Linked DNA regions of Oryctolagus cuniculus. Each later gene encodes a partner of the first gene's protein in a complex. Links are inferred from orthologs where the notes say so. Each region holds a gene or a part of one and is shown on either strand. Other genes may lie near its edges.

Region 1 (4,264 bases):
CTTCATCCACACACAGAGCTCCAACTACTGTCAGCACGGCAGATGACACACACACACAGTCTGTGTGTGCAGAACCCCTCTCGTCGGACCTCCAGCTCAGCACCCCCGGCTGCATCCTTGTCATCCTCTCCTAGGTGTCTCTTCAGGTCAGGCTCCTAGGGCACGGCCACCGCCTCCCAGTCGCCCCCCACCCCCGTAAAAATCGTTTACCCGGGGCTGAAATGTTGGAAGGATTATCGCGAAATCACGCTAGGGTAACCATCCAGGACACAGCACTCTCACCAGTTACAGCTTCCTCTCATGAACGACAAGCTGATCGGATGGCCACAGAGGGGAAGCAGCCAAATACACGCCAAAAACGCGATTTACGCCTTTTAATGAAGGGTTAGGCGGAGGCGGGTAAGGAATGGTCATCAGAGCGAGTGTCATGCCCACGGCTTGACGGACAAGCGCAAAGAAGTCACCAGAAGAGCCGGCTGGCCTCCTTGGGGGGCAAGCAGCGAAGGATGACAGTCCCAGAGAAAAAGGGGGTCAGGTTCGGGGTGCGGAGGGAGCGAGTGACAGCGCTGCAGGTCAAAGGAGAGGGGAAGCCGGCAGGGAACAGCCAAGCGGAGTGCCCGTGCTGCCGGGGGGACTTGCAGGGGTTCCGGCGGCCCAAGCGTCAGCCGGGCCAACTCCGCAAGAGTGAACGCCGGGTGGGCGGACCGCACGGGGAAGGGAGCTCCAAAAAACCGACTCCACGGAGAAGCCACTCCGGCGTCCTACCTGTGTCTGAGAGTCCGGAGCCCCCGACAGGCCTGCCAAGAGTACGGAGTCCACGCGGCGCGGGGGAGCCGGGAGGGAAGACGGAAGGGACCTCGGGCCCGAAAGAGCGAGGCCGCTCGCTCCCCCTGGTCAGGGAGAGCGGCTGATGGCGGGAACTATGACCACACGCAAACACGCACGCACGCACGCACGTACGCACACTCGACGCGACCAGAGGCAGGCGCGTGCGCGGTAGCCCGCAAACTCCGCCCCCTGCGCGCCTTCGCCCCGCCCCAGCACCAAACGCGGCCTAGGCCAATGGCCCCGCCCCTGCCGTGACCGTACTACGCACGCGCACCTTCACTTCGCTTCATTCCGTTCTCCCACCATTCCCTTCTTCTCAGCCCAGTCGGGCATGCGCAATACTTGTTCTGGAGGGACGCCCGGCTTTTCCCGCCCTTCACTGGCCTCCGGAGGAGGGTCAGAGTTCACTCCCCTCTCTGAAGATACCTGCCCGATGCCGAGGGGTGCGGGGACTAGTGGGTCGCGGACGACCTTCTAGTCCTGAAATTTAAGGGGCAAAGGACAGACTCTGGGACTGTTAACTCGGCCGAGGGCCGGGAGGCGGGAAGAGGTTGTGTGGGCGGGGTCAGAGGTAAGAGGTCAAGGGGCTGCGGAGGGGGCGGAGCGAGCCGGAGGCGGATGGCGGCTCATCTTCAGCGGCAGAGGCGTTGAAACCGAGACGGGGGGTCAGGCGCGTCTGGCGGAGGAAGGAGAGCGGCGGCCGCTCCCAACATGCACAGCCTGGCGACGGCTGCGGTGAGTGCCTGGAGCCGCCCGGCCTGGAGCCGGAACCCTTCTCGGAGCCCCGCGCTCGGCCTCCCCTCCTAGCACACCGGGTCCGCCTCGGAGCCCGGCTCTTTCCGCCCGCAGCCCGCGAGGCCCTGGCTTGTGGCGGAGCCGGCCTCCGCTGTCCTCGCCGGACGCCTCTCTCGGCCTCCCGCGCGGCTCCTCGCGTTCCGTGTCGGCATCGGGGCCTGCTCCCGCGCGCCGAGCGCCTCCCTCGCGGCCGGGGCCGGCCATTCATTGATGAGTGCGCCCAGCGGCGGTTTCAGGGCTCCGGCGGCAATGCGGGGACCGCCTGGGGCTCTCGGCTCCGGCCCGCGCCCTCGGGACTCGCCGCCTGGGCACATGGCAGCGGGAAGGAGATGATTTCTGGCGCACGCCGCTTGCTTTACGTAGGGAAAAGCCGGGGCCTAGAGAAGGGCTTCGTTACTGCGTCCGACTTAACGTTTAAAACCTCTTTTCGCGCATCTCGTTTTACAAGCATGATGTTTTAACGAGACAAGCGGGTCGCGCAGTTCTCCGGTCTGAGATGAGCCCAGGGCTTCCCGTTGCATGGAGATCAGGTCCAGGCTCCTTGCCACGGCCTTCAAGGCCTTGTGGGATGTGGTCCTTGGTCCTTACCCACGTTTACAGCCTTAGTTTGTGTCGCTTGCTGCTTCAGCGCCAGCTGTGCTGGCAGGTTCCCTAACCCTTCCACCCGCTCTCTGCCGCGCCAGGATGCACTTTATGGTCTGCCTGAAATGCCCTTCCTTCGTACCTCTCCCTCCTTACACACACACACACGCGCGCGCGCACACACACTGGATGTGAGTGCAACTGATTCCTCTTCCCTCGGGTCTGCACCTGAATCTGCCCCCCTCACACCACCTCCTCCCCATTCAAAGCGGTTTGTAGCTCTTAACTCTTCTCTTGCTGGAGCAGCCTTCACGGCACCGATCCCAGAGTGTAGTCGGTGTGTGCCTCTCGAATGTTGGCGGTCTCCCTCCTGAGGGGTAGGGACATGTGGTCTTGTGTACATGATTTCCCCGGGGCCAGGACTCAAACACATTGCTGATTGGAAGATACAGCTGAGTGGGTTTGACCACTGAGAATGCCTAGCCACAGTGGGAAAAAAGAGTATCATTTGATTTGAATACACTGCTCTGAAGGCCAAGTCCACTTTCTCCGTTTCACTAACGGGATGCAATTTAAGGAGAGTAAGGTACTGAAATTGCCAAGATCTGGAAAACACCAAAAATTGCCTTAACTCTAAATATAGAAAGTGAAAATTGAAGCTGCACATGACTGAGCTATGGAAAGGCATTGCCTCGTGAGGTTTGATCTCAGCCTGTCATTGCCAGGGCCAGTGGTATCAGTCTTCGGTCACTGTGCCTCTCAGTGTAACCGTGCAGAGACAGCTTTAATATCTCTCCGGTGATGGCAGCTTCCCTAGCTTTTTTGTTCCTTTTTCCAAGTTGTATGTGTTAATTCAAGAAGAAGCAAAATGAGGATGCTGCTGGTAGAGGCGAGGCAGGAAGAACAAAGGAAATTCTAAGCTTGGCTCGCCCAGCTCTCAAAACCTGATCGAGCCTTCTCCAGCAATCTTACCTTTGCTACCAAGGCACTCGCCCCTGAGCCTCCTGAAACGCTGTAGCCATTTGATGCGCTTTCAAATAAATAAATAGATAATGTTACAAAATAAAATAACAAAGTCCTTAGTGATTGACTCACTGATTTAATAACTTGGTCCCAAACTTCAGCCTTGGCACTCTTTAATTTCTGCTTCAGTAAAGGACCATGGAGGTAGCTTCAGATGAACAGAACTACAGTTCTTCACATTGCCATAGTCTTTGTAATGAATGTTAGACTACTGAAACAGCCAAAGGTCAGCCGTTAGGAGATGTATTTTATATGCACTTTTCAAAAATGTCCAGGGGCCAGTGTTGTGACCCAGCAGTAAACTGCCACCTGTGATGTTGACATCCCCTATGAGTCCCGACTGCTTGTTTGAGCTGCTCTGCTTCCAATCCAGCTCCTTGATATTGCAATGCACCTGGGACAGCAGCTGAAGATGGCCCATGTACTTGGGCCCCTGTCCTTAATGGAATCCTGGGCTTCTAGTCTGGGCTAGAACCAGCTCCTGTTACACCCATACCCCTCCCCTTGGTTGCAGCCATTTGGGTAGTAAACCAGCAGATAGAAGGGCACTTTCTCTCTCCCTCTCCCTTTCTCTCTCCCTCTCTTGCTCTGTCACTCTGCCTTTGAAATAAAAGTAAATACATAAATAATCTTTTTAAAAATTTAAAATGTTTTACAGTAAATCTTACCATCAATTCTAGCATCCTTAAACTCTTGTCTTTCTCTCACTTTCTACCTAGCCAACAGCATCATTAGTCATATCTCCTTAAAGTTGTGGTGGACTCCCAGAATCCTCCTCTTGGGTAAACAGAGCACTGTACACTCTAAAGCAGGGGTGAGCAATGTTTGGCCTCCAGCCTGTACAAGGCCAAAGCAACTGCCAGTGGGACTTGAAATTCAGTAAATCCACAGCAGGCTAGTTCTTAAATCAATAATTTCTGTAACCCATGACTGATGTTATAAATATCCAAATGATGTAGGAAAGTTTCCTCATTGCAGCTCTAATGGATCTAATTCGGTGTCTCCACCCGAGCCTCCCAATTTGCCTAACTTTTCT
Region 2 (3,646 bases), on another chromosome or scaffold:
GACAGAAAGTGGATTTTACTCCATGTTAAGTTTGAACTTTGATTTTCCTGCTCTTGATTTGTTCATTTGAAAAAGCACGTAATAGGCTGGCGCCGTGGCTCAATAGGCTAATCCTCCACCTTGCGGCGCCGGCACACCGGGTTCTAGTCCCGGTCGGGGCGCCGGATTCTGTCCCGGTTGCCCCTCTTCCAGGCCAGCTCTCTGCTATGGCCAGGGAGTGCAGTGGAGGATGGCTCAGGTGCTTGGGCCCTGCACCCCATGGGAGACCAGGAAAAGCACCTGGATCCTGGCTCCTGCCATCGGATCAGCACGGTGCGCCGGCTGCAGCGGCGGCCATTGGAGGGTGAACCAACGGCAAAGGAAGACCTTTCTCTCTCTGTCTCTCTCTCTCACTGTCCACTCTGCCTGTCAAAAATAAAAAAAAAAAAAAAAAAAAAAAAAAAAGAAAAGGCACGTAATAGAACGACCACTAGAAATGGAAAGGATTCTGTCTTAAAGCAGTTTCCACCCATACTTATTACCTGGTCTACATAGGTTGAATAACTAATTTCAGGGAAATGTCTGTGGAAACATAGGATACGTTGAATAAATGAATTCTCAGGGATTGCCAACACAGTATCAGGTTCGTTTCTCAGAAGGTTTTCAGAAATGTGACACCTGAAAATGTCACTTTTGCTTTCTTCTAGATTTTTTTTTAAGATTTATTTTATTTATTTGAAAGGCAGAGTTACAGAGAGGCAGAGTCACACTGAGAGAAAGTCGTCTTTTTGCTGGTTCACTGCCCAAATGGCCTGCATAGCTGGAGCTGGGCCGATCCGAAGCCAGGAGCCAGGAGCTTCTTCCGGGTCTCCCACATGGGTGCAGAGGCCCAAAGGACTTCGGCCATCTTCTTCTTCTTTTTTTTTTTTTTAATTTTTTCTTTTTTTGGACAGGCAGAGTTAGAGACAGAGAGAAAGGTCTTCCTTTTTCCGTTGGTTCACCCCCGAAATGCCTGCTACAGCTGGCACGCTGCACTGATCTGAAGCCAGTAACCAGGTGCTTCCTCCTGGTCTCCCATGCGGGTGCAGGGCCCAAACACTTGGGCCATCCTCCACTGCCTTCCCGGGCCACAGCAGAGAGCTGGACTGGAAGAGGAGCAACTGGGACAGAACCCAGCGCCCCAACCGGGACTAGAACCTGGGGTGCTGGCGCCGCAGACGGAGGATTAGCCAAGTGAGCCACGGCATCAACTGGGCCATCTTCTACTGCTTTCCCAGGCCATAGCAGCTGGATCAGAAGTGGAGCAGCCAGGACTTGAACTGGCCCTATGGGATGCCTGCACTGCAGGCAGTGGCTTTTTCTGCTATGCCAGAGTGGCCCCTCTTCTAGATTCTTATTATTGCATCTGCCAGTCTTAAAAAATAGGAAGCAGAGATTTTCCATGCATTGTCCTTTGGAAACCACTCAATTCATTTTACTGATTCTAAGAATTTTCCCAGTGTACACACACACACACACACACACACACATATCCCTCCCCTGTTACAGTGTATGGAAGATCCATACAGTGGAGTTGCCTTATATGTAAGTGGCCTTATGATAAGTTTCTCTTTTTGGCCTTTTTATAACTCTCTTCTCTTGTTGACCTGATTATAACAATAGCATTATTTTGAGACTAAAAGATGTGCATTTTATTTTGCAAAATACTTTCCCTTCCCCAATTTCCTCCCCAAAAATACACTAAATCATTCTGCTTCTGGTTGAAGGAGTTATACCTGCCATGTTTTCTCTCATTGTTGAATTGCTGCTTAGTTTCTTACAATATTACATGTTTAAATGTAGACATTAGTCATCAAATTTTGATTTTTATTGTGGTTGTTAAGGTTGTTTATTTTCAAATTAGCAAGTAGTTTCTATGATGTAAACCCCTTACTTCATAATCTACTTGCACAAATCCGAAGAGGCACTATACTAAGTAGTTAATTGCTTCCATTTCTGTGAGGCTTGTGGATTGCAGGGAAAAACAATTTTCCCTTTTTGGGGAGTGGAGGAAGGAGACCTATGCCCTTGTTCATGCATTAGTCAGGTGAGACTGGAGTGTGAGTGTTTAGATCCACATGGCTTCAGGCTTTCCGAGATCCCAGGTGGATTTAAAATGGCTAACGTGATTCCTTTAGAGATGTTTCCATGATGTGGTCTCCTGCCAGAGTGATGTGAAAGTCGAGGATAAGGGCACGTTTGTGGTCAGATGTGTTTTAGGGAGTCTGCAGTGGACTGAGGAGTCCTTCAGGGTAATGGTTTCACTTCTTTGCTGAAGGGCAGCTTGGGCAGATATTTCCTTGGCAAATTTCATTTCTTTCAGGTTAAAGAATTCTGTGTGTGTATATGCATGCATGCATGTGTGTACATGTGTACATATGTATTTCTTGAAAAAGGCAGATTTTCCCATGATAAACATAATGCTCCTAGTGTTCTAGTGTAAACTTACGAAGTGATGTTCAAGTATTGTTTTCATGTGTTGTCACCTTATACCAGATTGTAAACTTACATGGTTTCCCAATGTTTTTGAATCCAGGTCAGCTCAAACCTTGTCTGGCTTGCCTTCTGACGAAGTTAGCTGAAAGTGACTTCTCAGGTTTCTTCAGGATGCCGGCAGCACTTGTGGAGAACAGCCAGGTTATCTGTGAAGTCTGGGCCAGCAATCTGGAGGAAGAGATGCGGAAGATCCGAGAAATTGTGCTCAGTTACAGTTATATTGCCATGGTAAGGGTGCTGCTGTATCTCGCTCGCCTTTTTGTCTGCGCTTATGAAATATCTACTGTTTGATTTTGAAAAGGAGGAATTAGTATGTTTTACTAAAGCAGTGGTAAATTAAACTTGAGGGAAGATCATGTTGATATTATAAAATAAGGTAGCCAGTGGCTCTGAGAGGGCTATAAGCTCTGGTATATCTTAGACTTTGTGTTATGTTGCTCAAAGGCTTGAAGCAAGGTAGATCGCCCATAGGGTCCTGTGTTTGAAAAATAATAGATTCGACTTGAGTGTTTTTGAAAATTAAAAAAAATTTGCCACCATTTAAAAATCAAGAGATATTTGAAAATTTGTGGCATTTCTGGAAAACATAGGCAGATCTGGTCATTTATGCTGTACTTTTTTGCCTGACATTAAGTGGCTGAAGAGACAAGTGAGTACTGTGGTGAGATTAAAGGCCTTCTATAAAGAGGCATGTGTGCCCTGTGTTACCCTAGTTCCCATTGCTTGCTGCCACTTTCATACCTTCCTCACTTAATCTCCTGTACACCAGTCACTTTCGAGATTATGGAATTAAGTCTTTACCGTGGTGTACAGAACTGTATGATCGGATTCTATTCTTTTTCACTCAGGCTAATCATGGCTCTTTATTATTTTCCCATATAGTTATTTTCACTTCACCATATTTGTGTTTTTATTGCTATATTGTTCTCAATCTAGAATGTTCTTTTTTTTTTTTTTTTTAAATTTATTTTCTAGGCAGAGTTACACACAGAGAGGATTAGATAGAGATAAAGGTCTTCCATCCGCTGGTTCACTCCCTAAATGGCCACAGTGAGCAGGGCCCATCTGAAGCCAGGAGCCAGGAGCTTCCTCAGGGTCTCCCACGTGGATGCAGGGGCCCAGGCACTTGGGC

The links.
Region 2: CNOT9 (region 1) and CNOT8 share a complex: the UniProt entries of both Homo sapiens proteins name them as parts of the CCR4-NOT complex. The link is inferred for Oryctolagus cuniculus from reciprocal best matches to the Homo sapiens genes CNOT9 and CNOT8.

What each region holds. Positions count from the first base shown.
Region 1 is NC_091434.1:20,855,309-20,859,572, reverse strand, and holds the start of CNOT9 (CCR4-NOT transcription complex subunit 9), read left to right. Parts: upstream 1-1,356; 5' UTR 1,357-1,539; coding exon 1,540-1,563; intron 1,564-4,264. UniProt on the Homo sapiens protein: Component of the CCR4-NOT complex which is one of the major cellular mRNA deadenylases and is linked to various cellular processes including bulk mRNA degradation, miRNA-mediated repression, translational repression during translational initiation and general transcription regulation.
Region 2 is NC_091437.1:41,749,476-41,753,121, forward strand, and holds part of CNOT8 (CCR4-NOT transcription complex subunit 8), read left to right. Parts: intron 1-2,554; 5' UTR 2,555-2,625; coding exon 2,626-2,742; intron 2,743-3,646. UniProt on the Homo sapiens protein: Has 3'-5' poly(A) exoribonuclease activity for synthetic poly(A) RNA substrate. Its function seems to be partially redundant with that of CNOT7.